Linked DNA regions of Arabidopsis thaliana. The protein of the gene in region 2 interacts with the protein of the main gene of each other region in a pairwise test. Each region holds a gene or a part of one and is shown on either strand. Other genes may lie near its edges.

Region 1 (6,425 bases), on a different chromosome or scaffold from region 2:
TGTCGTTACACTTGGTTAAAAGACAAAGAAGAAAATCCCAAAGCTAAGATAAGAAGTTAAAAAGCACAAACCCAATAATATATTGACACGTCAGTAGTAGTAAAATGGATAGTTAACGTGTCAATACATTATTGGTGACGTGGCATAATTCGTAGTTAAAAAAGGTTACTTCGAGCGGTGGTAGTGGTTACGGTGTGACGCACGTGAGCCATGACGGTGGACGAGTGGAGACTCTTGGACGTCTCCACGGCGTTTGGCAGCGGAGAAAACTCCGTCCCAGATTTCGGAGAAAGCGCGGATGATGATGCCGTGGTGGTATGGCTCGTTAAGGGAGAGGAAGCAGTGGAGAAGCTCTCTGAGATCGTTTTTGGAGTAAATCTCGTTCTCGAGAATCATCTGAAGCATGGACTGTCGGAAATCTAGGTAAGGATCGTCTGAGTCTTTCTCGACGGCGACAGCGGCGGCGGAGGGTGTTGCCGAGGAGGAAGAGGTGTCAGAGAACCAGTGGGAGGTGGAGGGAACGGCGGAGGAAGAGGAGGCCGTGGTGGGGGTGGAGGAGTGGCAGTGGCCGTAATTAGAGGAGTAGAGGCGGGGCTTTTTGGGGGAAGGGTTGAAAAAAGAAGACAAGCTTGGGAACTTACAGTTGCCACAGCCGATGTCTACGACAGAGACTGCCTTAAGGACCATCTTCTTCTTCTTGCTTTTGCCTGTCGTCATTGCTTTGCTCTTTCTTTGTCTCTCTGTCTCTTACTCCAAGATGAAATAGATTTTAGAGAGAGAGTGTGTGAGGGAGAGTGAGTCTACTTGGATTGGTATTAAAGGGTGCATGTGGTGACTGAGGTGGATTAATGAGAAGTAAACTCTTAGCAACAATATTTAATTTGATGTTCAATGACAGTTTATAATTTCTTTTAAATTTTTGTGAGCTTTTAAAAATATGTTAGTAAATGTCTACATTCATGAGCATTAATGTGACATATACTTACTCCACTGATCTATGAAAATTATGAGATGTGAATATAGGATTATTATTTAAGTTGACTATAATGAACTATAATGGTATTTCATATATAATTAAGCCTTCCCATTACGATTTAGGTTCTAGTTGGACGATCTATATTTTTCTTTTTGTCAAATCTAACCTTTTTTTTCTTCAAAAAGTCAGATGATCTTTAGTATGTCATTTGCATTCAATAGTTATACTATACGGTCGTTAATTCATTTCATACACAATTATTTTAAACTACGTTTTAAATTTTAATTCGAATATATTATTTTTTTAGGATTTACACATGGTGTTAACAAATATTACAAGAGAAGTTGTAGAAGTACTCAATAAGAGTTTGTTTTACATGGATTTGTGTTGGGCCTTCATGAGCTTTGTACAGCGCCTTTACAACACTCAAATAAATTGTCACTCAAGGGATATAAACCCAAAGGCCGTAGCTCCTCCAACACAAATCCAGACCACTCTTTGTTTCCAGTATTACTATTATTCCTCTAAGTACATTAGAAAGGTGTATAAACTTTGTTTTACAACATATAATAGAAAAATAAACATTACTGTTAAACAATACAAAACTTTACAGAAAACGTACAGTATGTTTAATTATTGATAGATTAATATTTAGAGGCCGATGAAAGGTGGAAGTTTTTTTATGGGAACCTGGTAGACATAGAATGTTGTAATAATATTGTCCATCAATCTGATTTTCGATTTGAGATTACCTAGTGTAAAATATAAGTAACATAAGTAACAACTCACTTATGATCACTGCACTATTAAGTACTTCTTCCTCAATTCCTTATTACTCCAAATTCTACAAAAAAAAGTTTGTTGCAAAAAGATACAAATTTTAATTTTTCTATACAAATTTTAAGTGTGGAAATTGTTAATCACAAAAAATAATACATTTAGGATCAATTTTTTTCATGTGTGAAAAACTTAGAATTTGGATTAATAAGGAACGGAATTATTTTGAGTTTATGTTTGTTTGGAAAAAAAAAAGACTAGGTTTGCTTCAAATTATCCATTGAATAAAGGATGTTTAGATGAGATTTTAATGGATTTCAAAAGATATTCTAGTAGTTTATAGAATTTCGTATTTAGTATTTTTTTTGAAGGACAGCAGAAGAATATATATTTATTAGTGTAAAATCAGTCAAACTTAATTAATTTGATTCTTCAAGGACTTTTTTTGTAAATTCATATGAAGCGTCGAACAATGTTAAATAACGAGGATAATGAGACAACGGTCAAACGGTCAAACGGTAAACCCGTTCCTCTTACCCCCAAATTCAAGTAGCTTTTGTGGCAAGAAACCGTTTACTTTTTGTAATTTTTTTGTTTGTTTATTGACGTTTATATATTTCTAAAAAAACTAAACCCTGATGTATTCCAATTTTAGAACTTACGCGTCTTCATAATCTTCCTCTTTTTTTCTTTGTCTTTGATATTCAAAGTTTTTGTTTATTTTTTCTTTGCTTAACCCGGAGAGACACCCTCTCCATAAATTTAGGTTTGTTTATAACAACTTATACATATTTTTTTCTCTTCTAATAATAAAACTCTGTAACCATTAAACATGGTTTTGATCTCATTTGCAGTTTTGATCCCTCTGGGTTCCTTGAAGAAAAAAACACCAATTCCATTCATATTCTTCTTCATACGTTCAATAATTCTTACGAGGACGAGATCTTCCTAACGTCTTTGATCTTCTTCATTAGGTTCATTTGCATTTGTTAAACGCTTAAAAATGGATCTATTCGTCTGATATATATATGATTGTTGAATCGGTTTTGTTATGATTGTAACAGGAGATAAGTCTAAACTGGTCGAAGATGTTGGGAGATTTCATCATCAGACTCCTTGTGTATGTCCTAACCATATCTCTTTTTTTCTTTTGATTAATTAATCATGTATATTGATGTATATATATAATTGAAATGGTGAGAATGGCAGATTGATATTAGGGTACACATACCCAGCATTCGAATGCTTTAAAACGGTGGAGAAGAACAAAGTTGATATCGAGGAACTCAGATTTTGGTGCCAATACTGGTATTGAATTATTTATATATGATCCCCTTTTTTCTATCCTCGATACTTTTAAACATTCATATATAATGTGTAGTGTATGTAGTAGATTTGTAGTGATAGGCAAATCGATTTTAGTTCGATCATAGTGATATACTTTTCTCTGTTATGGGTTTTTGTTTGATTTTAAAAGAGAAAAAAAATCAAAATTCCGTTAAGTTGATGTCTTCTGCTAGAAAAACCATTTATGAATACACCTCATCTTTTGTACAAGTCTTTGGTTTCGAACGTTGATTATATACCTAGTCTGGGGATTACTGGGACAATTGTATTAGGTTTATTTTAAAGATATCTCAATATATGTGATGCACGTAATTCTAATATGATAGTTTATTGTCAATATGTACTCGAAAATATTAATTTGTTAAACATTTGTATTTGAATAATTAGGATACTTTTGGCGCTAATTTCATCATTCGAGAGGGTTGGCGATTTTTTTATCTCATGGTAAGTAAGTTTTATTATTAGTTAATTCATGCCTTAATCCATCTCTGTCTTAAAAAATATTAACAATCATCAAATAATTAATTGATATATGCAATTATTATTTGCAGGTTACCGTTATACGGAGAGATGAAAGTAGTCTTCTTCGTATATCTCTGGTACCCTAAAACAAAGGTAATATAATTTTTCCTTTTAAAAAGTGATTAGTTGGATCATAATTAATTAGTGGTTTATGGTGATGTACAAATAATAATAACGAAATAAATAATGAATGAAGGGAACGAGACATGTGTATGAAACATTGTTGAAGCCATACATGGCTCAACACGAGACAGAGATTGACAGAAAGATCATGGAGTTGCGAGCTCGAGCTTGGGACTTTTTCATCTTTTACTTCAACAACTTCGCCCAGGTCCTTTTTTAAATTATCTTTCTATTACTTATATATACAAATTGTTCTTTTTAAAGGTTTGACTAAATTATTATAAGATTAACAACATACATATAATGTTGATGCACAGGCCGGTCAATCCACCTTGATCCAGGGTTTTCAGTACGTACTCGCCCAATCGGTCCGGTTCTCTGCCGCTGCAGCTAACCAACCGGTACTTTTCTATCGCTTTTGATTTTCGTTTTATGTACTAATGCAAACACAATCTTGTGTTTATTACCTCCCTTTTGCACTTTTGAATTTTTGTGTTTGTGCTAAAGCCAACGGAGAGGAACGTGAACATGAACGCGCAGTCACCGGTGGAGATGGACAATGATCCTCCATCACCGCGCGCTCCAAGACCGCTGAACAAATCACTATCTGCGTTGCGATCGCTAGAGAAGCAAACAAGCAGAGGGAGGAAGTGGCCGCCACCAACACCACCACCAACACCAGGCCGAGACTCCGCCGGAACATTTAACGGTGATGATGGAGTCAACATTCCTGATACAATTCCGGGATCACCCCTCACTGATGCTCGAGCTAAGCTGCGACGTTCTAACTCCAGAACTCAGCCAGCGGCATAGTAACGCAAACGTACATATACGTGACTCGACAAAGAAACCCTTTTCGTTTGTTTAAAGATATATAGGGAAAGAAAAGTGAATGAAAGTTTTGAATTGAAACAAAACAGATTTTTTTTTTTTTTTCATGTTTTCTGTAAATTGAAGCAGTAAGTATTAATACAGCGAGAATATTTGTGTTTGTTTTCGTTTAAACTTCCCGCTTTAATCCGGATATTGATTTGAGTTTGGATTTCTTCATATAGCTGATTATAAAGATGCATTTGAGTGGTCAAAAATATTATAATCAAATAGTGTACCAATGCAGCCGATGAAGTACATTCTCTGTTAAACTTACATTAGTTTCTCGGTGCTCCTCTACAACATCACTCTAGGCGATAAATGAATCATAATCTAATGGTACATTGTATGGAACGCACCTGCCATTGGTTCATACACGTTCTGTAGTTGCTCCCTCCTTGTATATGATTTTAGGGAGTGTTGTGAGGTAACACATTTGGGATCAGAAGTTGAGAAGTGTGCTTGGTATTCGATCATCTCGGGGTTGAGTCAACAGCTGTTGGTGCTATTTCGCCCATTCCTGGTGGTGGAGTACTCACGTCGGCTATTCCATAATCCCAATCGATACCAGCTTTTGCTAGAGTTAAGGATTGCGTATTTATATCTTATGCAGATAGATATAGTTAACTATAAGAGAGAAACAAATTGCATATATGCAAAGGATACAGTCAGTTTTCCAAATATCCGTCATGCTAATCTCAGCATTTGAGAGAAGCCAGTAGTCCGACTCATCATTCTGCAAAATACAAGACCAATATCAAACAACAATTATGAGGGTAGATTTTGAGTCAGGTTAATTAGTTTCTCTGCACAACTTCCTATTTCTATGTTCATTATAAAAATAAGCAGGAAGATGGCTTACTTCAACATCAGAGGGAGTAATCTTAAGCATTCCTCCTACTTGCTCTTGCAAATAATTAAGATCAGAGGTATCGCCGGGTTGAGGATGAGGATGATCATGAGACACAATAGCAGTTTCTGGGTTGTCAACAGTTAAGGCTTCGATGTCATGGTGTCCTGTAGATCCTGAGCTAGAAGCAATAGGCAAGCATGCTGGTGGTGCTGCACCACTCCCATTTGTGTCTTCGAATTTCCCTTCAAATTCGCTGAACATGAAGACAAAGTAAAAGCATGTAAACGGGACAATGAATGTTCCAAATCATAGAAATCTTTGTTTTGATACGTTCAATTATATGTATACCATCATCAGTAGAGTATATGAAGTCACGGAAAATGCCAATAACAATGTTTCTATTATTTGAAGCCAACGCATAAATACCTGACGAGGTATACGTCAATAGGTCCCATTGTACTTCTAAGAATGATCCTGTATCTCCTTTGTGGGTGGTCAGCCGCCTGTCAAGTAAAGAAGAAACATTATAATAACGTTTTGGAATCTAACAAAGAATGGCAGATGTCATCCAAGGTCGCTGAAAAAGACTAACTTCATCTGGATCAGGCACTTCCAAAGTTGTGCCATGAGGAGCTTTGACGGCTATCAGAGTCTGGTTCTGCAGAAACAGCAAAGAGAGAGTTAAGATATAAGTGAACAAGAAAGTCTTGGGATCGACATACATACAATCAATTGATCAAATTCCTAGGATTAAACATATGAAATAGGAAAGACAGACCTGGAAACCTGGTAAACTCTTGATATCCTCTTCAGTTACAAAAAGCCATCTGGACAATGTGAACGGATTGGTTAAGTGTCCATCATATAAATAGCACCATCTCATAGCCAGAACAAACTAGCCATACGAAAAGATAGATAGACAGAGATTTATACTTCTGATTCTTTTCATTTTCGCTC
Region 2 (8,331 bases):
GATCTCCGGAGGAGGAACACCTGTGACCAGGTTTGTGTCCAGTTTTGTTCTGTCTTTCTTTGTTTTTTCGGGTTCTGTAACCAGAGGACCATCAAGAGCTGAAGGAGATGCACCAGGAATTACTTCCCGTGTGAATGGTAACGATCTTGCAGGTTGCAAGCAGAATTCTATCCACTGGTTGATTAATGGAGATGGGCCTCGGACTCGTCCTCCTCTTTGTTCTGCTTCTTTACCAGAGTCAGAAACAGCCGGGATCGCCTTGAAAAACAATTATGCTTCACGGTTTAGTGTCCAGATATGTTATATCGTCTTTAGAACAAGAAGCATTCAAGATATCAGATGAAGGGTTAAGTGATTTTACGACGGTAACTTACCCATAGATCAGCCCATAAGGTGGCACCGGATTTGGGAACAATCACTGTAACATTAGACATACGTTTTGCGACAGGGATAACATCGCTGCTCCAACCAACAGTGACCCAGACATCTCCGACATTGAAAGCTTTTAAATAGTTGTTACTATCAAATAGTCTAATCTATAAGCAAAAGGGGAAACAAGATCAGCCACCATTGTCATTTTTTCTCAATAACTATAGAGGTTGAGTGAAACACGTCAGCCTAAACTCATCTGTTCTCTTTAGGGTATGGAGAGATAGTAAAGAGGTAATAACCTGTTTCATGAGTGATGCCAGATTTTTCTCCACTGCTAATCTTCCGCCAGGAACTTGTGAATCCAGGTCTGTCGTATTGTATGATGCTCTCATGTATTTGAGAACAGCACCAACAACCTCTCTAGGAGAATTCACCATTGCGATCCTTCCTGCAAGCTCGGGTCGCCACAGATCAGCCCAGTCCTAAATTCAGCAAAATGTTCAGTGATATTCACTTCTTTTAAATAGGAAAACACTAAGACAGCATTTAGCAACAACAAAGTATACCAACCTCTATCGGTGCCAATTTATAATTCTGAAATTTGCTCTTTTTGTATGCTATAACCATGGTGCCCCAGCGGTATGGCACAGCCCACGTTTCACCGTCAGGAGCTTTTTCTCCCGCATAGTTCCTGCGGAGATAAATCTGAGACTTTCTAAGTCATGAAATGAACCCTATGAACATTCCCAAGCTAGCAGAGTACGAAAACAAAACACATGAAAGATTATGCCTATTAAAATCTCTCAAGCTAGTGTTCTTTCAAAAAGACTCATATTCATATTGTTAAACCACTGATTTAAATTCTCACCTTCCATTTATCACTCAAGCCTTTATACCAGTCTTGATCTTCTATCCCTTTCATTGGCTCAATTAGCTTTTCCTTAATAGCAAAACTAAGCCAAGAATCACCAATGCTGATCATATCAGCTGCTGCAGTTGAAGCAGCCCCCTTTTTTCCATTCTTACTTGGTTTCGATAGATCGAAAAAGATCTCTTCAAGATTTCCTCGAAACTGAGTCTTTAACCTCACTCTCTTCCCTTGTGAGCTCATAAACTCCTAAATTCCATTCACAGAATCCAACAACATACATTTTCAACTATAAGCTTAAGATTCAAAATAGAAATGGAAACACAGACAAGTGAAACTAAAACCTTGATCCATGATGGTGGCACTGAGCCACGCAAGGCAACGAGTTTTAGCGGGACAGTAAGAGAATACACTTTAGACTTGTACGCTTCGAAATCAGCTTCCAGTTTTTCTTCATCTTCAACTTCATTTAGATTCTCTTCACCTGCAAAAACATTCCATTGGAACACAAAATTCAAATCCATCGAAATCCCAAGAGTGACGAAAATGTTCAATTTCACGCACCAGCTACAGTTTCTGTGTTGATTTCATTCTCTGTAACGACAATCGGCGGTGGTAGTATTCGAGCGGAGGCCGGAGAACAGACGCGGAGGCTACTTAAACCGATGAACAACACGGTCGAGGCAGAGAGACCAACGATCCTCTCATGAAACCGTTCGTCTCGAGAAACTCGTGCAATGGTGATTCCCCTTCCTCCGTCGCGTCGGTTTCCTCCGCAGTAGAAGCTCGCCGGCGGTTTCACGGAAATAATCGCCGCCGTAGCCATCGATATAACGCGATGGTGAAACAACGGACAACAATGGCTTCTAATCTCAAACCGGTTCAATCAAACCGCTGGGCTTATACCGTAATGGGCCTTAAAAATGGGCCCAATGATTTCGACCATTGTAGAGATTAGGCTTAGCTAAGGTCTAGCTGGCAATAATAATTGGGTTTTATGAAGAAAGCGTCGGTTGACACGTGTGGGAGGTCAAGATCGGCACGTGCGAGACCCACTTCGTTTCTTCTCATTGGTCGTATGCTTTGGAGAAGAAAGCATCTTCTTCTTCTTCACACACTCTCTCTCTCTCACTCTAGTTTTCTCTCTCTTCACTCTTACCATAAATCACACAAACAAAATAAAAAGTCGATTCCTTTTTTGTTTTTTTTATCTTCTCCTTAAGTTATATTTTTTTTTTTTTGCTTTACAGCTCAAATTAGTCATCTTCTTCTTCCTCTGTCTCAATTCTTCCTCCTCTCGGATCCATTTTTAGAGGTTCTTATAATTCTTACTAATTCTGTTTGCTTTTAAAGCTATAACCTTTGATATTGTTGGAAAGAGTGGGGTTTTGGGTCTTTTGCTGAATCGTTTTTTGGATTTGTTATATTGTTCGAATCTTCAGTTGTTATTGTGTTATAGGATTGGATGGTATCTGGGAATTTCGTAATCTATGTTAAGCTAGAGCTGTTTTTGAGCTCTTTTGTTGATGATGATTTTGAGATTGTTGGCCGAATTTAGCTCTCGTTTTCTGATTTTAGCAATTGGAAAGTGTGTATTGGTTCTTGTGAGGCAATTTCACTGTTTTGAGTACTCAAAATGTAGATGAGAGCATGCATAAGTTGTGTGGAGACTGAGCTTAATGTGTAGTGTAATTGACAATTAGTTTTGTGGGCTTTCCTTTGTTTTTCAGGAGTCTAGTTTCTTACTTGAACATAGACATGGAATCAACTAATAACTGACAACCAAGAGGCTGTTCTTTTCAAATGATTGGTAGTAGTTATATTATGCTTGGACAGTGCCATGATGGGCATCTGTGAGATGAAAAGCTGCTGCTCATGGCTTCTTTTGATCTCGTTGCTTTGCTCACTATCTAATGAAAGTCAAGCGATTAGTCCTGACGGTACGTCGATATGAATCAACTATTACTATTCATAGCGTCCTGGACCTTTTATTGAGCTTTAATCCTTTATTGCTTGTTTCCATTCTTCAGGCGAGGCGCTTCTGAGCTTCAGAAATGCAGTTACTAGATCAGATAGTTTCATCCATCAGTGGAGACCGGAAGATCCAGATCCATGTAACTGGAACGGAGTGACATGTGATGCAAAAACGAAAAGAGTTATAACCTTGTAAGTTTTCAAACTTGTCAAGGTTTACTGGTTTTCTCTTCAGTATTTGTGCTCCCTAATACTCTTGTTTCGCAGGAATCTTACTTATCACAAAATAATGGGACCTTTACCTCCTGATATTGGAAAGTTGGACCATTTAAGGCTTTTGTATGTGCTCTCTAGCCTTATTCATTTTTATTGCTTAAGAGAGTACTTCGATTCTGATCATCTGTGTGTCATTGCAGAATGCTTCACAACAATGCTTTATATGGAGCAATACCTACAGCATTGGGAAATTGCACAGCATTGGAGGAAATGTAAGCGCTTTTCCAGGATTTTATACTGATTCCACATGGTTTCTGAGAGACCAATTCCAGTTGCTTATGGTCATCAAAATTGTCCAACTGGTTTTGCAGTCACTTGCAGAGTAACTACTTCACTGGACCAATCCCAGCTGAAATGGGAGACCTGCCTGGCCTTCAAAAGCTGTATGTTTTTTTCTCTTCCCTATACGTACTTGCAAGTGCATCCTTCTTTTAGTGTATGCAATATCTATTTGTTTTTTGTTTTCATTTACTTCTATCACCATCTAGGATCATGGTAACATATGGTTGACTGCATAATGTCTTCTCATGCACATTATATTCAGAACTAGTTATACCTAAACTCTTGGTGAGCAATTTGAAAAGCATGATAATGTATTGTTTACTTCAGATTCACATATTGATTGTTCTCTTTTCTCTACTAAAACTGACTTTTGACTTTTTTATTTTATTTTCAAGGGACATGTCAAGCAACACTCTCAGTGGACCTATCCCTGCTTCGCTTGGGCAGTTAAAAAAGCTTAGTAACTTGTGAGCACCTTAATCTCTAACTTCCGCTGTAATTTATCATATTGCAGTCCTGTGAATCTTTCTGTTTCGTTTGTCTTATGAAGCAATGTCTCGAACAACTTCCTGGTGGGGCAAATACCTTCAGACGGAGTGCTCTCTGGATTTTCTAAGAACTCGTAAGACAATAAACACCCTTTTCTTCTTGTAGGGATAGAAAAATAAAGCCTCTAAAGTTACATTTTTTTTTTTTTTTTGTCAATCCTCTAAAGTTACATTTATACAGCTGATCTTTCATATTTCGCTTATATTCGAGATGATTTTTTGAACCACATAACTATTTAGCTAGATTGTATCAGTGCGACTGAAATTATATGATTCTCAAACTGATGCGTTACTACTACAGCTTCATTGGAAATCTTAACTTGTGTGGAAAGCATGTTGATGTCGTGTGCCAAGATGATAGTGGAAACCCTTCATCACATTCTCAATCAGGTAAAAGCAATTATGAATTTCTTGTGATATACAGGTTTTGTTGTGGCTCTCTATCAGTAAAGTTATATTTATTTGGTGTCTTATACTTTATAGGTCAAAATCAAAAGAAAAACTCTGGTAAGCTGCTGATTAGCGCATCAGCAACTGTAGGTGCGCTACTCCTAGTTGCACTCATGTGTTTCTGGGGATGCTTTCTATATAAAAAGCTCGGTAAAGTCGAGATTAAAAGCCTTGCAAAGGATGTTGGTGGAGGTGAGCCGTATTGATTTTTTTTGTACAGATATTATCTCGTTAAATATTGGGAAATTTCATATTTTTCTCTATCTCCTAAATCTTCATTGTGACTTTTTCAATTCAGGTGCGTCTATTGTGATGTTCCACGGAGATTTACCTTACTCTTCCAAAGATATCATTAAGAAGCTGGAAATGTTGAATGAAGAGCACATAATTGGATGTGGAGGCTTTGGAACGGTGTATAAGCTGGCCATGGATGATGGCAAAGTCTTTGCATTGAAGAGAATTCTAAAGTTAAACGAAGGGTTTGATCGGTTTTTTGAGCGGGAGCTTGAGATTCTTGGGAGCATCAAACACCGATACCTCGTGAATCTACGTGGATATTGCAATTCACCAACATCAAAGCTACTGTTATATGATTACTTGCCCGGTGGTAGCCTTGATGAAGCACTTCATGGTATGATCAATCTGCTCTTTATGGCTCTCTTCCATATTATGAATGATTCACTGAGAAGTTTGGTTCTTGAATTAGTAGAGAGAGGCGAGCAATTGGACTGGGATTCACGCGTAAATATCATCATAGGAGCTGCGAAAGGGTTATCATATTTGCATCATGATTGTTCTCCTCGGATTATACATCGTGATATAAAGTCGAGCAACATTTTGCTTGATGGCAATCTCGAGGCACGGGTATCGGATTTTGGTCTAGCCAAGTTGTTGGAAGACGAAGAATCTCATATCACAACCATTGTTGCAGGCACATTTGGGTACCTAGCTCCAGGTACATATGCCTTTTAAAAGTCTTTACTTACATAAAGATTTGATCTTTCAAATGCTGAGACTTTTCCATTTGACAGAATATATGCAAAGTGGTAGAGCAACTGAGAAAACCGATGTATACAGTTTTGGGGTTTTGGTTCTTGAAGTCTTGAGTGGGAAAAGACCAACCGATGCTTCCTTCATCGAGAAAGGCCTTAACGTTGTTGGTTGGGTATGCAAATAAGATTCTTTTTCAATACTGATATTTTGTTACGACAAACTTGACTAAAAAAGCTTTTGACTCATGATTTACAGCTAAAGTTCTTAATCAGCGAAAAACGGCCAAGGGATATTGTTGATCCAAACTGTGAAGGAATGCAGATGGAGAGCCTTGACGCTCTACTATCAATAGCAACACAGTGTGTGTCTCCGAGTCCAGAAGAGCGTCCAACGATGCATCGGGTTGTCCAGTTACTTGAATCAGAGGTCATGACTCCTTGTCCCAGCGAATTTTATGATTCCAGCTCTGATTAATTGCATAAACCCACCAGTCGAAACCTCGAGAAAAAAAGTAAACCGAGTCCGGTTTCCCGGGGAAAGCCTTCAAATGCTATTCGATTTCCGTTTTTGCTCCCCGAGAAAACCTGCAAATACCAACGAAGAGCCATAATTTTCCAGTTAATGGAACAGAGTCTTTGTGTTGTGTTGCCATTTACTTTGCCCCTCCAGTTTTACCAGATTCGAGCCATTCATTTTCAGCCCTTTCTCTTTTTGTTCTGATTTTTGGTATAAAAACTTTTATTTGAACATGAAATTGAATTGTATAGTTGTGACCTTTGTAGAAAAACTACTCTCTGCCTTTATGTTCTTTTGAAATAATCCATGTTCCTTCATCTTCTTCTTCTTCAGTCTCAATCAATCCTGATTCAGTTACAGAGAAGCTGATATCGATTCAAAACCAACATCGATTCAAAACCGGTTCATTAGCAGGGAAACAAATGTTAATGATAAGGGAAGTAGTTAGAGAATGTACAAGAAAGTTTCAGCTATCAATTTCTTTATGTTCCAAATCCAACATCAAATTTGTCGTTTGATGCAGCATTGAGTTGATCTCATCCATTTTTGGGTGTGATAATAGATCATCTCCAACAATAAACTCATGACCAACCCCATCAATCTCGATGGAGCTGCAACCAGGAAACTTTCTGATTCCCAAATCTTTCATTTTCCTTCTCACATTAGTTACATCTTCCCATCTATTAGCAGATGCATATACACTTGCAAGCAGAGTATGAGCACTGGAATCACTTACTTCCACTTTCTCAAGCTTTTCCGCTACCCGTTCTGCTATTTTTACATTCCCATAGTTCCTAGCAGCACTAAGTAAAGAACAGTATACAGGAACTAGAGTTTCATCGCTTTCACCACGCATCTTATCTATCAATTCCTCTGCTTCATCTAACAAACCAGCTCTGCATAGTAGGTCAATCAGACAGCTGCAGTGCTCTGATTTAGGCTGGACGTTATGTCTTTCGGTCATCGAATGGAAAATCTTACGGCCTTCTGCTACAAATCCACCATGATTGCAAGCTGTTAAAACCGCGACAAATGTTATAGCGTCTAGTCTAACACCAACATTTTCCATTTCGTAATACAAGTCCAGCGCTCTTCCTGACATCCCGTTCATCGCAAGACCGTAGATAAGTGATGTCCACGAAGCTGTGTCTCTCTCCTTTATTTCATAGAAAACCTCTAGAGCTGTCTCAATGCATCCACATTTTGCATACATGTCTACAAGAGCAGTACCAACTACTTTATCTACTGTAACCCTGTTCTCATTTATGTACCCATGAATCCATTTTCCTTGCTCTAAAGCTCCCGTTTGCGCGCAACCTGTCAAGAGAGAGACTAGCACGAAATTATCCGGCCTAATTCCCGCAGTTTGCATGCACCTGAACAGTTCCAATGCCTCATCAAACCGGTTAAACTGAACATACCCATTCATCATAGCTGTCCACAAAACAACATCCTTTACAGGACTTCTCTCAAACAAAACTCTAGCCTCATCAATCCTACCAGTACTAACATACCCAAAAACCATACTAGTCCAACACTTAACATTCTTGTCTCTCATCGAATCGAAAACCGCTCTAGCCTTATCGAGACACCCACATTTACAGAACATATCCACCAACGCATTCCCAATCCTAACACTCATTTCAAATTCTGTAACAACAAACCTATAAATCCTTTCACCAATTTCAAGATTCTTCAAAGCCGAACAAGCCGAAAGAGTGCTCACAATTGTACCTTCATCAAACTTCAAATTGCTCTCCTGACTCATCCGCTTAAACACACCAATGGCATCCTCAAACCTCCCATTACCAACATAACTAGAAATCAACCCATTCCAAGAAACAACATCTCGTTGAGGCATTTCATCGAACACTTTATGTGTGATCTCTATCTTACCCAATGAAGCATACATTCCCATGAGTGAATTAGATACATAAGAATCGAACTCAAGCCCAGCTTTCACAGCATAACCATGAACCTTCTCACCTTCTATAACCTTCCTCAAACGACCAATTGACTTTAGAACAACCGGTAACGTGAAATTATCAGGAT
Region 3 (7,034 bases), on a different chromosome or scaffold from region 2:
AACCATCTTGTAAGAGAAGTCTTTCTCAGAGACTTTGCTTATGAAGCTGTAAGGAAGCGCTCTCTGGTTGGAACAAACAATGAAGAGTGTTAAAAACACCAGAGAAACAACAGATTCAACGTTTCAAAGACAGAGAACGTGAAGATTCAGAATTTAAACTTTTATTAAACAAAGACAACCAAAAGATTCTACCTTCTAGCCAAAGCTGAAAGATCTAACTTTTCAAATACAGAGAACCTAACATTCAACCGTTGAGACCCATAAAAACCCAGAGAAAGAACAGATTCAACGTTTCAAACATATAGAACGTAAAGAGTCAGAGATTAACCTTTTATTAAACAAAGACAACCAAAAGACTCTACCATTTAAACAAAGATTATAAGATTTAACTTTTAAAACACAGAGAACTCAAAGATTAAACTGTTAAGAGTCTTGAGAGCAGAGAAACAACAGATTCAACGTTTCAAAGTCAGAGAACGTAAATATTCAGAGATTTAACAGATTCAACCTTTCATTAAACAAAGACAGCCAAAAGCTAACAAGATCTAACTTTTTTTATTTTTTTTACAAGATCTAACTTTTAAAACACACAGAACCTAAAGATTCAACCCTCGAGAAGCTGAGACCCTTAAAACACCAGGGAAACAACAGATTCAACGTTTCAAAGACAGAGAACGTAAAAGATTCAGAGGAAAAACAGTTGCAATCTTTAAAACAAAGAGAACCAAAAGATGAATAAGCCGTAGACTTGAAACCCATTCAACAAAAAGAAGAAAAAGATTCCCACTTTTCAAACAAAGATATCAAGAACAACGTTACCATGCAGTCAGAGGATAGATCTGCCCTCTGAAAAATCTTGAAAAAGCTCAACATCTGCCGTTCTTCTTTAATCCGATCAAAAACTATGTTACTACTCTTACCCATCTCTCTCTCTCTTCCTTCTTCTATCTCACTCAGAACCTCCTCTCCTTCAAGTTTCTTTAGTATAACTCTCTCTCGCCCTATCCCTATATCTCTCTCTCTGGTGTTATAAATGGGCAAAAGTGAGTATCCAAATATGTATGCTTCTTTTCATTAAAAACGAGTCAAGGTTATAATAGTGGAAAAAGCAGTCACGTTCCCATAAATCAAAGTGTTTTTTTATTTTATAGTAATAGGCAGATGAAACAATTGCTGTTAAAAATCTGACTTCAAAGACACGCAAAAGCAGTGTTTGCTAGTTTTAGTACCTGAGGATCCCTGAGCAATAAGGACTGATAGACTTTTAACTTAGCTTCTTTTGCCACCATCCCTTCTTTTTTAAAAAAATATTATTTTCATTACGATCAACTTCATTTATTAATTTGAACCTTCGGTAACTTTTTCTCTTTTTAACGTTATATGGCAGTCAAAGGTCAAAGTTGATAACCTTTTCTAAACTGAAAAGTAAAAAAATAAGGTACAAGATGAGATCACACCAAACTAATGTGTGCAGAAGATACCCCAAAACTAATATGTTTCTGTAATTTATAATGAAAATACACACAAATATATAAACCACACGACTCACTACATGTGTGTTCATATACATACATATATGATCAAATTGTTAAACTTGACCATGAAATCTATTGATTTAAAAATTTGGATACATTTTAGACATCATGTACTCAAAACGGGAAATAGTTATGAACATAGTGGAGGTAATCAACAATTCTATTAACAAAGCATCAATGTATTGATAAAACGGTCGTCAGTGTTCAATTCCAAAATACATATTGTTAACTTGGTCACAAGCTATAATCCAATCTATCAACTAAGTTGCAAGACAATGTCACACAGAAATTATTTACGCCATTATGCACTTTAATTATATTTATAAAATATTAAACAACACAACCCCATTTCTTAAACGCAGCATTGACTTTCATCAGAGTTCAAGACTGATCATCCATAAACCCAGTACTGTAACCATTTGATTTTATGAACTTCTTCAGAAGAAGAACCATGATAGCGATTGTGAGCCCAACCGCCGCCCACGTGAAGAGTCTGTCATCGACTGGCTTCTGAGCCGCTCTTCTGGCCATCCTTTGCTCACCACTTACAGAAGCTTTGACCACAACTTCAACCGCTGGTAAAGGTGCTGCAGCGGGAACCACACTAGCTGCTGTATTGACTGCTTCAGCTGTCTCTTCTATGATTTGATCATCAACTATGGTGTCTGTTGTAGCGATGGACCGCTCTTCTACTACAGTTATCGCTTCCTGTGGCTCAACTTGGGAGTGAGCTTCTGATACGATGGAAGGTGCTTGGCTACATTCCAGAGGAAGAGGTTTTGGAACCACGGTTGCTTTGCTAAGGATGTACTGATGAATCTGCGCTTGTTAAAAGGTCATGGTTACTAAAAGTTTTTTCCAAAATTGAAGATGAATCAGAGGTATGAAACTAAAGTCATAACAAAAATCATGAAGAAAGGGACGAGAGTTTAGACCAAAAGGAGATTGTTAACACTACTATTGTCTTTTTTTTTATATTTGTGCAACTGACTACTTTTTAAAAACGACAATAATCAGTAAAATGGTGTGTTAGGACTTGAGCAGCAAATTTTACTGTATGGAGAGAATAATAACAGCTGTGATTGCAGTTAAAACAAAGCAGATACTCTTAGAGCAAACATTAAATCATAACCGCTAGAGATATGCAAGCCTAATATATAATATATTGCGATCCCGTTTTGACCACCAGCTAGTCCTATGGTTTATAATGATGCAATGCAATGGTATGGCACATACTCTACAGGTTCAGCAAGCATCTAGCTAAATTCATATATTTTCATCAGGATATTATGCATAGTGGTTCAACACCCAAGGGTATTCTAGTGGGGAACTATACCTCATCAATAATTTTTTGCCGTTCAGGAGAGCCATACTTAGGTGGTGTCTCACGTGATTTAATGGCTAGTGTACGTCTCTCATCCTTTGGATAATCTACTGAGCCCAGTGCTCCATTGGGACTTGTGGGCATAAATGCAATGAGAGCCACCAAAGCAGTCCGAACTGAAAAGAAACAAAGCTCAATCATAATACAAAAGAGCTGATATAGTTCAACCTCATGTAAATTACAAGTGTCTGAGTAATCTTTTAGGAAACAACATAAAAGTCAAGAGATAAGGTCTCTTGAGATCCATGACTTTACCACTCCATGAAGGTTGCCAATGCTCAGGGTGGTAGTTTGAAATGCTCAAGCAAATCTTGGTGTTAGTTTCAAAGCGCCCGTTAGGCTGAAACAAAAGTACAGAGATTCTTTAGATACATACTCTCTTATGGAACTTGCAACATCTGTGTGTTTTTATATATGAAATAAGAGTAAGATCCTTACGGTCAATAACATGAATGAAGGAGGTTTGAATGGATAATCTGCAGGCAACTGAATTCTCCCATGATAAATCCCGCCCTCGAATTCAGTATCACCAGGACCTCGGATGGCGAATTGCCACTCAAAGATATTCTCCTGAAGTTAAAAGATAGATAAGAGTAATCATGTAAACTATTTGGTATCACACAAGAACTTGTAAAAAACAGCTATAACATCGCGCGCAATCTATTTGGACCATGACATGTTGGAAAAAGTCTTCACAGTTAAAAAAATTAGAAACGAAGAACTAGTATGACAGCTGAGTGGATCAAGGAATCGTTCGTAATCTTCCCCACTTGACTCAGTTATTCCAATAAAAACACAAAAATCCAAACTTTATCTGTTGCACGAGTGTTGAAAGTAGAGAGACTTAGTAAATTCAGTGTATACAAGAAGATATATCGATCCTCCCTAATCATGATCGCCTAAAATCAAACACCATCACTCAGAACAGATACACAATTACAACACAACACAACATAACACAACAACATAAGACAAGGGGATTTTCTCAAAAAAGGAAATTTCAAATATAGATTCGAATCAAAATTCCCGATCTAAAAAGCTAGAATCGGAGATGTTACCTCAAGAGGAAGAGACATAAAATCATCAGACGGATTAGCTTGCATCTCCTTAACCTCCTGCAAAATCCTCTTCACCGCCGGATTCTTCCGATTATACCTCTCATCCGCCATCTTATTTATCCCCACGAGATCTTGCCGGAAGTGCAATCCGCCGCCGGAGTTCTCTCTGTCCGATTCGTCTTAACAGAAAATAATAAATACACAAAATTAGAATTACCACATGGCTTCGGGAGATGAGCTAATTAGTACGGTGATATAATACAAACACACAAAATTAATTCCAAAACATTTTCCACGTCACACTCTTTAACGACGGATACGTGACGTGAGAGAGCTTCTGAGTAAGTGCCACGTAATTAATAAACTTTAGTCATCCAAACATCTCAACGGTTCAGAAACTGTCACGTAATCTGAGAAATTTAAGCGCCTCTTTACAGCCGTCGATTTGGGAGAATCATTAAGCTATCGTGGCGAGACTTTAATAGGCCTTGGCCCATTAATTTAAAGCCCAATGAAACGTGCACGTCACAGACAACAGAAAATCAAAGCGTTGACAGTGAATCGGTGAAGAAGAAGAGTCTTGAGTCTTGAGTCTTGAGAGAAAGGAAGAAGAAGCAATTTCAATGGAGAAGAGAGGGGTGATCGACACATGGATTGATAAGCACCGTTCGATCTATACGGCGGCTACACGTCATGCTTTTGTCGTCTCGATCCGTGACGGATCCGTTGATCTCTCGTCCTTCAGAACTTGGCTGGTACTGTAATTAGTAATTACTGATGAAAACAAGGCAAAATATGAAATCTCACTCGATGACTTTTAAACGACGTTGTTTCCTTGTAGGGGCAAGATTATCTGTTCGTGAGGAGGTTTGTGCCGTTTGTAGCGAGTGTGTTGATCAGAGCTTGCAAAGATTCCGGCGAGAGTTCCGATATGGAAGTGGTGCTTGGTGGTATAGCATCGTTGAATGATGAAATAGAATGGTTTAAAAGAGAAGGATCGAAATGGGATGTTGATTTCTCGACCGTTGTGCCTCAAAGAGCTAATCAAGAATATGGCAGGTTATTGATTTCATATATGCTGATTGAATAGATTTCTCACACTCGAAAATGAAATTAGGAACCAGCAAATAAACCGGAGTTTCTGGTTAATTCAGGTTTTTGGAAGATCTGATGAGCAGTGAGGTGAAGTATCCGGTGATTATGACAGCTTTCTGGGCAATTGAAGCAGTGTATCAAGAGAGCTTTGCTCATTGTTTAGAAGACGGGAACAAAACTCCGGTGGAGCTTACCGGTGCTTGTCATCGTTGGGGGAATGACGGGTTTAAACAGTATTGTTCGTCTGTCAAGAACATTGCCGAACGTTGTCTGGAGAATGCCTCCGGTGAGGTGCTCGGTGAAGCTGAAGATGTACTTGTACGAGTTCTTGAACTAGAGGTTGCCTTCTGGGAGATGAGCCGTGGAGGACAGTAGCTAATGTTTGGGTTTGAATTTCTCATTTCCTCTAAATGCCAAAGAGAAACAAGTTCCAATCTTTATGTTTGGTGAAACACAAGTTGAGATTATGGTTTCATAACAGATTACATGAATACGGATTTGTCTCTGACTGGGGCAGAAGGTTGTTCCCGTCATTCCACATATTACACTTACTGGTAACTACATCAACTCCTAAAACTCTTAAGAACTCACCAATTGAAACCGAAAAGCTCTTTATTCTCTCCAGCGATGACCACAATTCGGGTTGCAACAGACAAAGAACAGTGTCATTCCTTCTTCACCTCTAGCCGTAGCCTGCACATTCAATGATAGCTACATTAAATCCTCAAGCGGTGTACAGAATTTGAGCATAATGTTTTGGGGAAGCAAACAGTGAAGATACAGCATAACCAAGTAGTTAAATAAATAATGGAGCTTAAGAGAGTTATACCTGGAAGAAAACGGCCTCCCTATGCTGACACTTAGAGCAACGCACAGCCTTGGTTCGGGGAAGAGTAGGGTCAGAAGCCACGTCTGTTAAGATCTGAGTTCGCTCACTTACAGAGTGATGAACCTCGTTTCTGTACACACAGCTGTTATCAGCTACCTCCTGCAAGTCAGTGCCACAAAAAGTATAAATTCTGAGATGAGGACAACAAACCCATTTACATGATCTAATCTAATCTGTCAATTTGTAACAACAAGATTGATAATGCAGCTTAAAAAATTGCAAATAACTACTCAGTTTGTGTAAATCAATAAGCTAAAAGAGGCCCTTCAAGTATTCATATAGATCTCATAAACACAACACTAGAAAGATAAACCATAAGAACTTGCTAAGCCTTAATTGAAGGAGTTAGTAAATAGAGAGGTTGGTAAAACTAAGGAAACTAGGAGCATTAAAAGAGAGATAAAAGCAGGAAACAGTTTCATTAAAGTCTCTTAATTGCAATGAAACTAAGTCCCACTCGCAATTTTGTGCACTACATTGAACACTAAAAACCCTTTTTCCACACAAAAAAAAGGTACAAAATGACCAAAAGCTATACCTGGTGATCACAATTACGGCAAGCATAGAGGAGGATCTTCTGTTCTTTGTCCTCCTTAGGATACAGAATGTTATTACTGAACCAAAATCAAACAGAAACAACAATGCAATTAAGAAAGGACCCAAAAACAAAATTCGAAAAAAGGTACTCACTTTTAGCGAATTGTCACCTTATCAACCATAGATGGTTCAACCACGGAAGAAATACATCAAAAGTAAACAACAAAAACTAAAAAATTCATGCAAATTTCGAAACTTTGAAAAAACCTAGACGAGCAGAGAGGTGCAATTCCAGAAACTAGGAACAGAATTAGCATAAGAGAGCTCTTACCATTCGCGGCAAAATTTCATAGTACTCATCTTAGCTGAATCTCTTGAGAGAGAATTAGGTTCCAAAACCAAAACTGAATCACTGTCTCAGAGAAATCTGGCGGGCTCGTTTTGTTTATTAGGAGAAAAATAATGCGATCGTCGTTCTAAATAACAGAGTCGCGTGATCGATCTTCGGATCGGACGTAGTTTCACGGGTTTTCTCG
Region 4 (9,731 bases), on a different chromosome or scaffold from region 2:
CAATACTAACCAATAAATATTACAAAGAAAACTTAAAAAATCAATCTTTTAGAAACAATTTTTTTTCTCTATATAATCAATCATTTAATAACAGAGGGAATATCGTTTTCCTTTCTGCTAAAATATCTTAGCTTTCTAATAGGTAATTTAGCGTACCGATTCATTTGTATTAACATGAATCTAATCTTTTATTTTCTGTTTTTACTACTAGTTAAATCGTTAGTCAACAAAACTAATAATATCCAAATATTCGCCATAAAATTATCCTTTTAACAAATTTAGACACAATATTTTAATTGATTTAGAAATCCAAAATGGCAATCATATTATTTTTAAATTGATATCTTCTTAATTTTTTAAAACATGAGACAAGTAGAACTCTAGTCTGGTGAAAAGCTCACAAGTAAAACATGAAAGGAGTGTCTTAATTCAACTTTGTTTTGTCGGCAGTACACATCACAATGTCATATAGATAGGTTGTAGACGGACTATTTTCTGAATTGAACTGGGTCGTGTTTGTAGACTATTTTTTTTTTTTTTTAATTCTATCGACTGATCCGGTGAGTTTCAATAAAAGCACACTGAAATAGTTCAGAGAGAACGTTTTTTCGAAAGACCACCACATTATATGTCCTAAATTTTAAATGTTTTCTAACTAATAACAGGGTTAATCAGACTACATGTATTTATGATTATTAGATAAATCAATTGAGCCAAAACTTAACTAATAGATTTTCCAAACAAATTTTCCAAACAAATGTGACAGATTATTTATTTTACAAAAAAATTGTTTTACATTAAAACTTTAAATAATTTCTACACCGAAGAATTGAATTTGCAGCACAACATAAGAAATCATGAATGATGGTATGGCATGCATATGTTAATCCTAACAAAATTCATGATTCCCTATCCACGCAAGCTAGCTTGCTTGTCCAAATTAGATTTGTTCAACTGCATAAACAAATTGTCAATTTCCAAAGAGGCACCAAAAGTCAAACCATAAATAGGTAGTTTGGACAATTATTGGGGATATAATGGATTAGATCGTAGATTCAGGAGAATTTAAGGCAAGTAAGTTGGTTCTCTATCTAATGTTCCAAGGGTCTTATCTATGTACTTCGTTTCGATGATTAATTGATGTAGTTAGTAGTTTCAAATTCCAAACGACTATTTGTATGTACAATTACATATGGATTAATTGTCAGATAACATGTTGAATTCTAACATGTTTCTGTCTATCCGATTTTAGATTAAAGTTGTTTATACAAAATTTTAGACAACACTTAAATTAGTACTATCGTTAGTTATATAGTTCCATTAATCATTTCTCCTTCTGTATGGTTTATTTGGACAGATATGTCATTAAGCGTTTAAAAATATTTGTAGATTTGATAATTTGTCAAAAATAGCATTTATTGATATTATAGTTGATCCGTACGCGTTACGAATTCTTTAGTTGACCTTTCTTTTTTTATAATCTCCTAATATTTAAAATTCAGCAGCAGACTGATGAATAAAATTAAATACTTGGTTCCATTTCTAGATGGTAACAGGTACAAATATAGATCCTCACGTAAGAATAATAACAACGGAGGACAAAAACGTTAAATTATGATTAATTAAACATTTAATTAAAAGTATTAGCAAACTCAATCAAAGAATGACTAAAAGGTTCTAATAACTTGTGAGGTATTTAAACAAGTTAATGTAAAAAAAGAAACAAAAAGGTTGAAACGTACGGTTTTCATCCAATGATTATGAATGACTATAAATGATTGTTTTTTCTACATCAAATATGGAGTTCCATCGTCATCCAATTTTCTTTTGGTTACGAGTGAAAACTTCTTAAAACACCCGAATATAGGATCTGATTGATAACCAAAAGTTGTACAAGTTTTTTAGCTGTTAACTTTATCGAAATAGTGCAAAACTGTTAAAAGAGCTGTATAAAAAAACTGTACAAAAAATCTAAGAAGAAAACTTTTTGTAACGTTTTTGATAAAGTTTTTGTGATTGATAACTATCAATACTGTACAAAGCTGTATTGTGTTACCATTCAAACTTATAATGTTATAGTCTTGGAGAGATATTTTTTTTACTCAAAGATATGAATTTAAGTTAAAATATTCCATAATCCAAACCAGCAATATATACACATTAATATAATTTAAATTGCATGGAATTCAAAATAATACTTATCGTGAATCCATCTAGATACGTTGAGATAAGGGACCAATCAACAAGAGAAGACGTCACTTTTACAAGTTGAGAATAATCTTTCAGAGAGAAAAAAAGAGTAACTGTCGATTTTTGTTGATCCAAGGTAACGTATATGTCCTGACTCAGATTATTGCTTCCAATTATATGTGAAAAGAGCTTTCTCCACATTGACATATAACTAGGATCATTCGCTATAGACGATTAATCGTTGTTTATAATTTGTTATAAAAAAAACTTTGGTATTTTAAAGAATATGTCAATATTTTTTTCATACTACAGTATTTTTAATTCGTCAAACTATTTAAGAATACGCTCATGACAAATGATCATATAATAATAATTTAAATAGTACTTGTATTTATTTTTTCAAGAAGAAAACTTAGTTGAATGAAATTTGACTTAAAATGATATAAAGGGTTTGAATGGTAACCATTTTAATAACAATACAGTTTTGTACCGTTTTGACAGTTACCAATCACAATTTTTTTATCAAAAACGTTACAAAAAGTGTTTTACTCTCAGCTTTTTTTATACAGTTCCTTTTAACAGCTTTGTACTATTCCGATAAAGCTAACAAATAAAAATTTTGTACAGCTTTTGGTTACCAATAAAACCCAAAGTCTTACAAAAAAGGTCTTACGCGTCCACGTTAGCTTTCCAATCCAACCCTTAATTAGAAGTCTTCACCATTTGCTGGTTAAAGGATATTTTTTCAAAGTGTTTAGCATTTTGTATACGTCAAACTATTTTAGAATCCAGATGATGAATGATCATATACTAATACTTAGCTGTATTTTTATAATTTAAAACAACAAAACTTGGTTTAATGAAATTTGACTTGATCTTGTTTAAAAAAACGTCTCACGTCCACACGTTAGCTTTTCCAATCCAAAACCCCTAAAGAGTAGAAAACCAAAATAACCATTTTTAATTCCCAGCCTCTTTTTATACGTAGTCTAAATTGACAAACACATCATTCGCTCTCTTTCTCTTCTTTCTCTAGCTCTCTTGGTTTTTTGCTAAAAACAGAGCATTTTCTCTCTAGCTCTCACTGTTTCTTTACCATAAGTTTCGTCATATTAGTACATGCAAGTGTAAGGGATGGTGATGGAGGAAGGAAGAAGCATAGAAGAAGGGCTTTTGCAGCTCAAGAACAAAAACGACGATTCAGAGTGTCGTATTACTGCTTGTGTTATCCTTAGCACTTTTGTCGCCGTTTGTGGCTCCTTCTCTTTTGGTGTTGCTGTGAGTTTTCTACTTTACCTTACTTTGATTTTTTCTTCTTCTATAGAAGAACAAATGAAAACAACAAAATTGTATGAAAAGAAAACATACTTCATAATTACGTTATACCTATTTTCTTATAGTTTTTGTTGTTTTTATACAGACTGGTTACACTTCAGGTGCTGAGACAGGAGTTATGAAGGACTTGGATCTTTCTATCGCGCAAGTATGTCTCTCTTTTACGGTTTTTCTTCTATTTCTAAAAACATGTATTGAAAATTAACCAAGTAGCAAATTTTATCAAAAAAAAAAGACTAAGGCCATGAATGTTTGTAGTTTTTAAAATGGTTTTTGGATTTTGGTTTTTAGTTTTTGATTTTCTTGGTTTTTGTTTTTGGTGTAGATTTTAGTTTCTTAAAAACTTGAATGGTAATTTGTTTAGATTTTGGTTTTTATGTTAATGGATTATATTTTATTTTACAAAAAAAATCTAAAAATAAAATAAAAAATGTGATCGATGGTTTTTTTATAGAGAAACTCTCAAAACATAGATTTTGATTTTCTTTGAAAAGTTGTTAAAACACTCAAAAACTAGATTCCCTATTTTTTTAAGAAAACTTGTTTTTTCAAAATTTTGAATGGTTACAAAATAGATTTTAGAAAAAACTAAAACCAAAAACTAGTTTAAAAACCACATCCATTCAAAGTTAATTCTTTTATACTATCATCCTTAAACAAACAAACAAAGTTTTGTGTATAATTAAGCAACTGAGAGCGAGTGACATATTGACATATGCAAAAAATAGCTAGGTTAATTATCGTTCAATTTTTATCAAAATACAAGCTTCACATCATTTTTAAATCCGTAAATATTTGTTTCTTTATTCATTCAAATTGAAACAAACAACCATCAATTCTAAAGAAGAAACATATAGATTGTCGTTATCCCATTGAGTTGATTATACTTCTTTGTTGGTGTGGTTCACCTCCTTTTTTACCCATTTTTTAAACTCTTATCATAACCCTACCAAAACTATATATATATATTATCCTGATATATATGGAATTGTCGAAATCATCCAAAAAAAAACATTATTTATCATAATAATAACCCTACCAAAACTATATATATGCACATATATCCTGATATATTGAGCGGTTGTCAAAATCATCTTATAAAAACATTATCTAGCTATCAACGTTTCCATCGTTCCAGAACCATTCTCCGGCCAATTCTCTCATCTACAATAATAGAAATTTGAAATATTGAAATATTATATATATATATATATATATATATATATTAAAAATAATAATAATAATACTATATATATGAAAACTATATTTGTTATAAATCATTTTTTTCTCAGTTTTCAGCTTTTGGCTCATTCGCCACTTTAGGAGCTGCAATTGGTGCACTGTTCTGCGGTAATCTGGCAATGGTCATTGGCAGAAGAGGGGTAATTAATTTAACCATTTCACCTTTCATATTCGTAATTTTACCATTCTTCTATTTTTTTGGTTCTTTCGTGACTATAATTTTCGTATATATGATGCTTATAATAATATTTTTGCTATTTATGATATAATAGACAATGTGGGTCTCCGATTTCCTATGCATCACTGGTTGGCTCTCCATCGCTTTTGCTAAGGTACTACTAGTTATTTTCTATTCATAAACATGTTTTTTTTTTCATTCAAACATTATTTCTTAGAAAATAAACAAACCAATTAATTTATGGTTATTATAAACCCAATAATTAAATTTATGTTATGTTTTGGAATACAATAGGAAGTAGTGTTGCTGAACTTCGGAAGAATCATTTCAGGGATAGGTTTCGGCTTGACGAGCTATGTGGTAATTAACTTATTATTATTATTATTTAATATCATCTTTGTAAGTTTGTTTTCTGATCTGTAATTTTTGCTTATTTACCAAGCAGGTACCTGTCTACATAGCAGAAATTACGCCAAAACATGTTCGTGGTACATTTACGTTTTCAAACCAGGTAATACTTTAGGTTTTTAGAATATTTATAAGAATGAGTGCTGACAAAAAAAAAAAATAGCACAAACTAGTCTAAGACAAACCAACCAAAATCCAAATTAAAACTTTTCAAAATTTCTCGTGAGTATATTGATCCTTGTTTCATTCTTGTGTAATTATTGATTATTAGCTTCTTCAAAACGCTGGACTCGCCATGATTTATTTCTGTGGGAATTTCATCACTTGGAGGACGTTGGCTTTATTAGGTAAGACTATAAATTCCATATTCATCGTGAAAAAATTGTTTTGAGACGTAAGAATATGTTAAATGTATAGTAGAAAAAAACTGGAAATCTTCAGCTGTTATATTATAGCAAATCAACTGATAAAAATGTAATACGTTTTTGGTTTAGGTGCTTTACCATGCTTCATTCAAGTAATCGGTTTATTCTTCGTGCCAGAGTCTCCAAGATGGCTGGTTGGTCATTTAATTTTTCTTTAGTGTTTTACGTAATTTATTAATTATTATCAACCATGAGAAGAAAAAAATTTAAACCAAACTATTTTCATTTTGAAGGCCAAAGTTGGCTCCGATAAAGAACTAGAAAATTCACTGTTTCGGCTTAGAGGAAGAGATGCTGATATTTCACGTGAAGCCTCAGAAATTCAAGTGAGTTTTACTATATACTATTATCAGTTATAATTTATATAATTTTCAATAAATATACATTCCCTTTTTCTTTGAAATTATATTTTCATTCCTTCACAAATAAAAAAATGTAAAGTCTGAATAATTCTGTGTTGTTTTCAGGTAATGACCAAAATGGTGGAAAATGATTCAAAGTCGAGTTTTTCAGATTTGTTCCAGAGAAAGTATAGATACACCCTCGTGGTACGTACAAGTACATCAAACTAATTTCTAGAGTATCAAATTTTCATATTTAATTTATCTGCACAAGCATTCATTTTTAATTAATATCTCAGGTAGGAATCGGGCTAATGTTGATACAACAATTCTCAGGAAGTGCTGCTGTAATCTCTTATGCAAGTACCATTTTTAGAAAAGCTGGTAAGCATTCATTTATTTTTATTAATGTTTAATTTTATATTAAAATGTCAGAAATAATAATAACTATATATATATTATATGACAATCTGTTCAAATCTGCAAGTGAAGATTTGCATAGAAGTTTCAGTTTCTCTGAGAATGTTTTTTTTTCTAACAAAACATATTTTATTCTACCAATCAATAGATTATGGGCAAAGGTCCTGAACTCCTAAGATTTCTCAAAATAAAATTAAATTGTGTATTTATTTTGTAAAATGATGCCATTAGCTCATTCTAAATACTTTAAGAGAAAGGGTTTTAGTAAATATTTACCATGAGTTCCTCTTTCCATTTTTTTTTGCTCAATAATTGTTCTGGATGGAAACAGGTTTTTCGGTGGCCATTGGAACGACGATGCTAGGTATCTTCGTGGTAAGTATATATAAATGTTTTTCTCAAATTTTGTTTGACTATATGGATGCAAAATTTAAGAAATGAAACTACGTCTCTGAAATCTGTTGTTATTGAGCAACTAAACTTGTGTGATGTTATTTAACCTGGTATAGGTCGCGTTTCTAGGAGATATAGAATTTTTGGGTTTCAACTTCCAAATATTCAAAAAAAAACAAAACTTGTGTGATGTTGGCGTTTTAATCGACATTTTATCACAGTTGAAAAAACGACATTTTTTATTTTGTTAAAATTTCGTACTTTAATGAACTCTTTGAACTAAGAATTTTCATGTACTAGTTTTTTTTCTTTTAACTCGTGAAAGCATTGAATGGTATAATATCTGGCTATTCGCAGATTCCAAAAGCCATGATTGGCCTCATTCTTGTCGATAAATGGGGCAGACGTCCTCTCCTGATGGTGAGCATGTCTTTAAATAATTTCTGGCTGTTCGCAGATTCAAATCTATTAGTCTATATTGATTTGATTACTATTTTGACATAGACTTCAGCGTTTGGGATGAGCATGACTTGCATGCTACTTGGGGTCGCCTTCACATTACAGGTTATTTTTTTTGTAAGATAATTACTATTTTTATTTATTCTGTTTTTAAACCAATAACTTATTTGTTTAACAATGTTTTTGCATGAGCAGAAAATGCAATTGCTTTCGGAACTAACTCCAATATTATCGTTTATATGCGTAATGGTAAGACATTATATCTCCTTGTACACAATCTTTTTGATGAAAATATTTACGTTGATGTTTCTTTTACATATAAAATATAGTTAAAATTGATATTTTTTAAATCGGCAGATGTATATTGCAACTTATGCAATAGGCTTGGGAGGTCTACCTTGGGTAATTATGTCGGAGGTACATAAATTTACTTCACTGTTAATTTTATTTCTATGCAGGAAGTAAGTAATATGTCTTGAAAAATAAAGTAATATATGTATGATTTTTGGTGTGTGCAGATATTTCCAATAAATATAAAAGTAACTGCAGGAAGTATAGTTACGTTAGTCTCATTTTCAAGTAGTTCAATCGTCACTTACGCTTTCAACTTTCTGTTCGAATGGAGCACTCAAGGTATTATGTTTTTCTTTTTCTTAATATCCATTTTATACAATTTTGGTTATATAAATTATCTTGTGATCAACAAAAAAAGTTATAACTTATCCTTTTTTTTTGTATATCGCATAGAAATAATCAATGATTAAGTCTAGAAAACTTATATAGTTTTCAAAGTCTGTGTTTATAGCATTTCAATGAAACCTCATATACATTTTATAACACAACTATTTGTTTATTTTATTTTAAAAGACTAATTAGTTAAATTTTTGGTTGAGTGAATATGTTATATAGTTTGTATTTATTTTATTTTCTCCTAATGTCTATATATATATATATATATATTATAATTGCATTTAATTTATAATTTTCTTATATAGTTTAATTAATGTAATAGGAACGTTTTTCATATTCGCGGGTATCGGTGGAGCAGCGTTGCTTTTTATATGGTTGCTCGTTCCAGAAACGAAAGGATTATCACTCGAAGAAATACAAGTTTCACTTATTCATCAGCCCGATGAAAGAAATCAAACTTAATTTGAATTATTTTATTTTATTATAAAAATGATCAAATTCAGTTTATGGTGTTATATTTGTTTATTTACAAACAAGGATTTTTTTTTTTCATTATGTAATTACTACTTTATTTTTCTGGGTAATTAGCCCCATTTTTATGATGTATATTTACGAGATGTAAAACTTGGCCTACGTACATGTGTATTTTATCTCTAAAATTGCAAATGTAATATTTTTCGGACATATATTAAAGAAGAGATTGATTTCTAGTATTGGGTAACTAGGGTAATTAATGATGAACAATAAACATGCGATTAATTAATCTAAACTGTTAAGTCCTAATATTGCTGTTTAATATGAAGTAGCTAGTATATTTAGAAAACTATATATTTCGAAAACGTGATATCTCATAAATTTGATTTAACATTGGATAACATTTGTGGACCACCATGCATCATGCGTGCTGGTAAGTTGATTCGACAAATTTCTGACGTTTGTAAGTTGATGGCTAATATTAATTAGATTATGCATTGGAACCACATAGATATTTCAAAAACAAACATATTTAGGTTCGATTCATCACTAGTAATATATTGTTTTGACCAAGGACTTTACTCATGCCCTGAAGCGACAATCTGTCTATGGTGTTGCATGTTTTTGAAACGAAAATCTGTCTCACAAACCCTGTGGTTAATATCTCCTCTGGCTGAAGAATATGAAACCTTAGATTGGAAAACCATCTATGAATTTTTGTCTTTGAAGGTTTTATCACTACCGCATCTATTATCTCTATCCGTGAATATACTGAGCTTATCCCGGAGTGTCAATTTAGACACATCTCTGCCGGACGTTATCTTCATCGACTATCCACTGAAGCATCTTGACACCACTTCAATCTAGCGGCCAAAACTAGGAGTTGTGATTTCCCTGTTTTTGCTTAAGCTTTTTCGAACCATAGCTAACTGTTCCCCGACACACATCCAGCTAGCTTCCGATCTAGAATTTCATTCTTACCTGACTTCAAGGGTCCTCGCCATCCAAGCTTCCCCGTCATGGAAAGAACCTTGGCTCTGGTTCCATTTGTCGTTTGTGCCGGCGAATAGTGAGACTAAGTACCTTTAGTAATCGTCACAAAATCTTTTGATAGTGACTAGTTCTAAAATACCTGAATTGTTCGTGGAAGTCTCTTTGACACACCAAGAACTCGCT

The links.
Region 1: the proteins of FEI1 (region 2) and HVA22J interact in a protein complementation assay, tested with the Arabidopsis thaliana proteins (one large-scale study listed by BioGRID).
Region 3: the proteins of FEI1 (region 2) and UBC32 interact in a protein complementation assay, tested with the Arabidopsis thaliana proteins (one large-scale study listed by BioGRID).
Region 4: the proteins of FEI1 (region 2) and SFP1 interact in a protein complementation assay, tested with the Arabidopsis thaliana proteins (one large-scale study listed by BioGRID).

What each region holds. Positions count from the first base shown.
Region 1 is NC_003071.7:15,121,557-15,127,981, reverse strand, and holds HVA22J (HVA22-like protein J), read left to right. Parts: upstream 1-2,393; 5' UTR 2,394-2,519; intron 2,520-2,607; 5' UTR 2,608-2,727; intron 2,728-2,817; 5' UTR 2,818-2,841; coding exon 2,842-2,873; intron 2,874-2,962; coding exon 2,963-3,061; intron 3,062-3,487; coding exon 3,488-3,544; intron 3,545-3,651; coding exon 3,652-3,715; intron 3,716-3,818; coding exon 3,819-3,953; intron 3,954-4,062; coding exon 4,063-4,146; intron 4,147-4,252; coding exon 4,253-4,558; 3' UTR 4,559-4,862; downstream 4,863-6,425. Other genes in the region: AT2G36030 (uncharacterized protein), read left to right, coding at 211-423; AT2G36026 (Ovate family protein), read right to left, coding at 166-717; E2F3 (E2F transcription factor 3), read right to left, coding at 5,089-5,186, 5,282-5,351, 5,478-5,721, 5,895-5,971, 6,061-6,126, 6,247-6,295.
Region 2 is NC_003070.9:11,247,280-11,255,610, forward strand, and holds FEI1 (Leucine-rich repeat protein kinase family protein), read left to right. Parts: upstream 1-2,338; 5' UTR 2,339-3,080; coding exon 3,081-3,180; intron 3,181-3,270; coding exon 3,271-3,406; intron 3,407-3,481; coding exon 3,482-3,553; intron 3,554-3,630; coding exon 3,631-3,702; intron 3,703-3,801; coding exon 3,802-3,873; intron 3,874-4,167; coding exon 4,168-4,239; intron 4,240-4,322; coding exon 4,323-4,394; intron 4,395-4,621; coding exon 4,622-4,710; intron 4,711-4,803; coding exon 4,804-4,962; intron 4,963-5,068; coding exon 5,069-5,401; intron 5,402-5,476; coding exon 5,477-5,725; intron 5,726-5,801; coding exon 5,802-5,935; intron 5,936-6,018; coding exon 6,019-6,237; 3' UTR 6,238-6,636; downstream 6,637-8,331. Other genes in the region: AT1G31410 (putrescine-binding periplasmic protein-like protein), read right to left, coding at 1-258, 375-536, 672-854, 943-1,077, 1,241-1,489, 1,585-1,724, 1,805-2,066; AT1G31430 (Pentatricopeptide repeat (PPR-like) superfamily protein), read right to left, coding at 6,746-8,331.
Region 3 is NC_003074.8:5,794,350-5,801,383, reverse strand, and holds UBC32 (ubiquitin-conjugating enzyme 32), read right to left. Parts: upstream 4,455-7,034; 5' UTR 4,089-4,454; coding exon 3,978-4,088; intron 3,490-3,977; coding exon 3,358-3,489; intron 3,260-3,357; coding exon 3,175-3,259; intron 3,036-3,174; coding exon 2,872-3,035; intron 2,355-2,871; coding exon 1,917-2,354; 3' UTR 1,637-1,916; downstream 1-1,636. Other genes in the region: REM22 (AP2/B3-like transcriptional factor family protein), read right to left, coding at 1-63, 820-924; AT3G16990 (heme oxygenase-like, multi-helical), read left to right, coding at 4,601-4,732, 4,819-5,036, 5,132-5,447; NRPB9A (RNA polymerases M/15 Kd subunit), read right to left, coding at 5,685-5,765, 5,902-6,060, 6,500-6,575, 6,830-6,858. UniProt on the Arabidopsis thaliana protein: Accepts the ubiquitin from the E1 complex and catalyzes its covalent attachment to other proteins.
Region 4 is NC_003076.8:9,645,634-9,655,364, forward strand, and holds SFP1 (Major facilitator superfamily protein), read left to right. Parts: upstream 1-2,874; 5' UTR 2,875-3,324; coding exon 3,325-3,468; intron 3,469-3,610; coding exon 3,611-3,673; intron 3,674-4,817; coding exon 4,818-4,907; intron 4,908-5,039; coding exon 5,040-5,099; intron 5,100-5,239; coding exon 5,240-5,305; intron 5,306-5,390; coding exon 5,391-5,456; intron 5,457-5,624; coding exon 5,625-5,700; intron 5,701-5,847; coding exon 5,848-5,912; intron 5,913-6,011; coding exon 6,012-6,104; intron 6,105-6,245; coding exon 6,246-6,326; intron 6,327-6,418; coding exon 6,419-6,503; intron 6,504-6,870; coding exon 6,871-6,914; intron 6,915-7,289; coding exon 7,290-7,352; intron 7,353-7,436; coding exon 7,437-7,496; intron 7,497-7,586; coding exon 7,587-7,640; intron 7,641-7,748; coding exon 7,749-7,808; intron 7,809-7,909; coding exon 7,910-8,024; intron 8,025-8,403; coding exon 8,404-8,543; 3' UTR 8,544-8,793; downstream 8,794-9,731. UniProt on the Arabidopsis thaliana protein: Sugar transporter.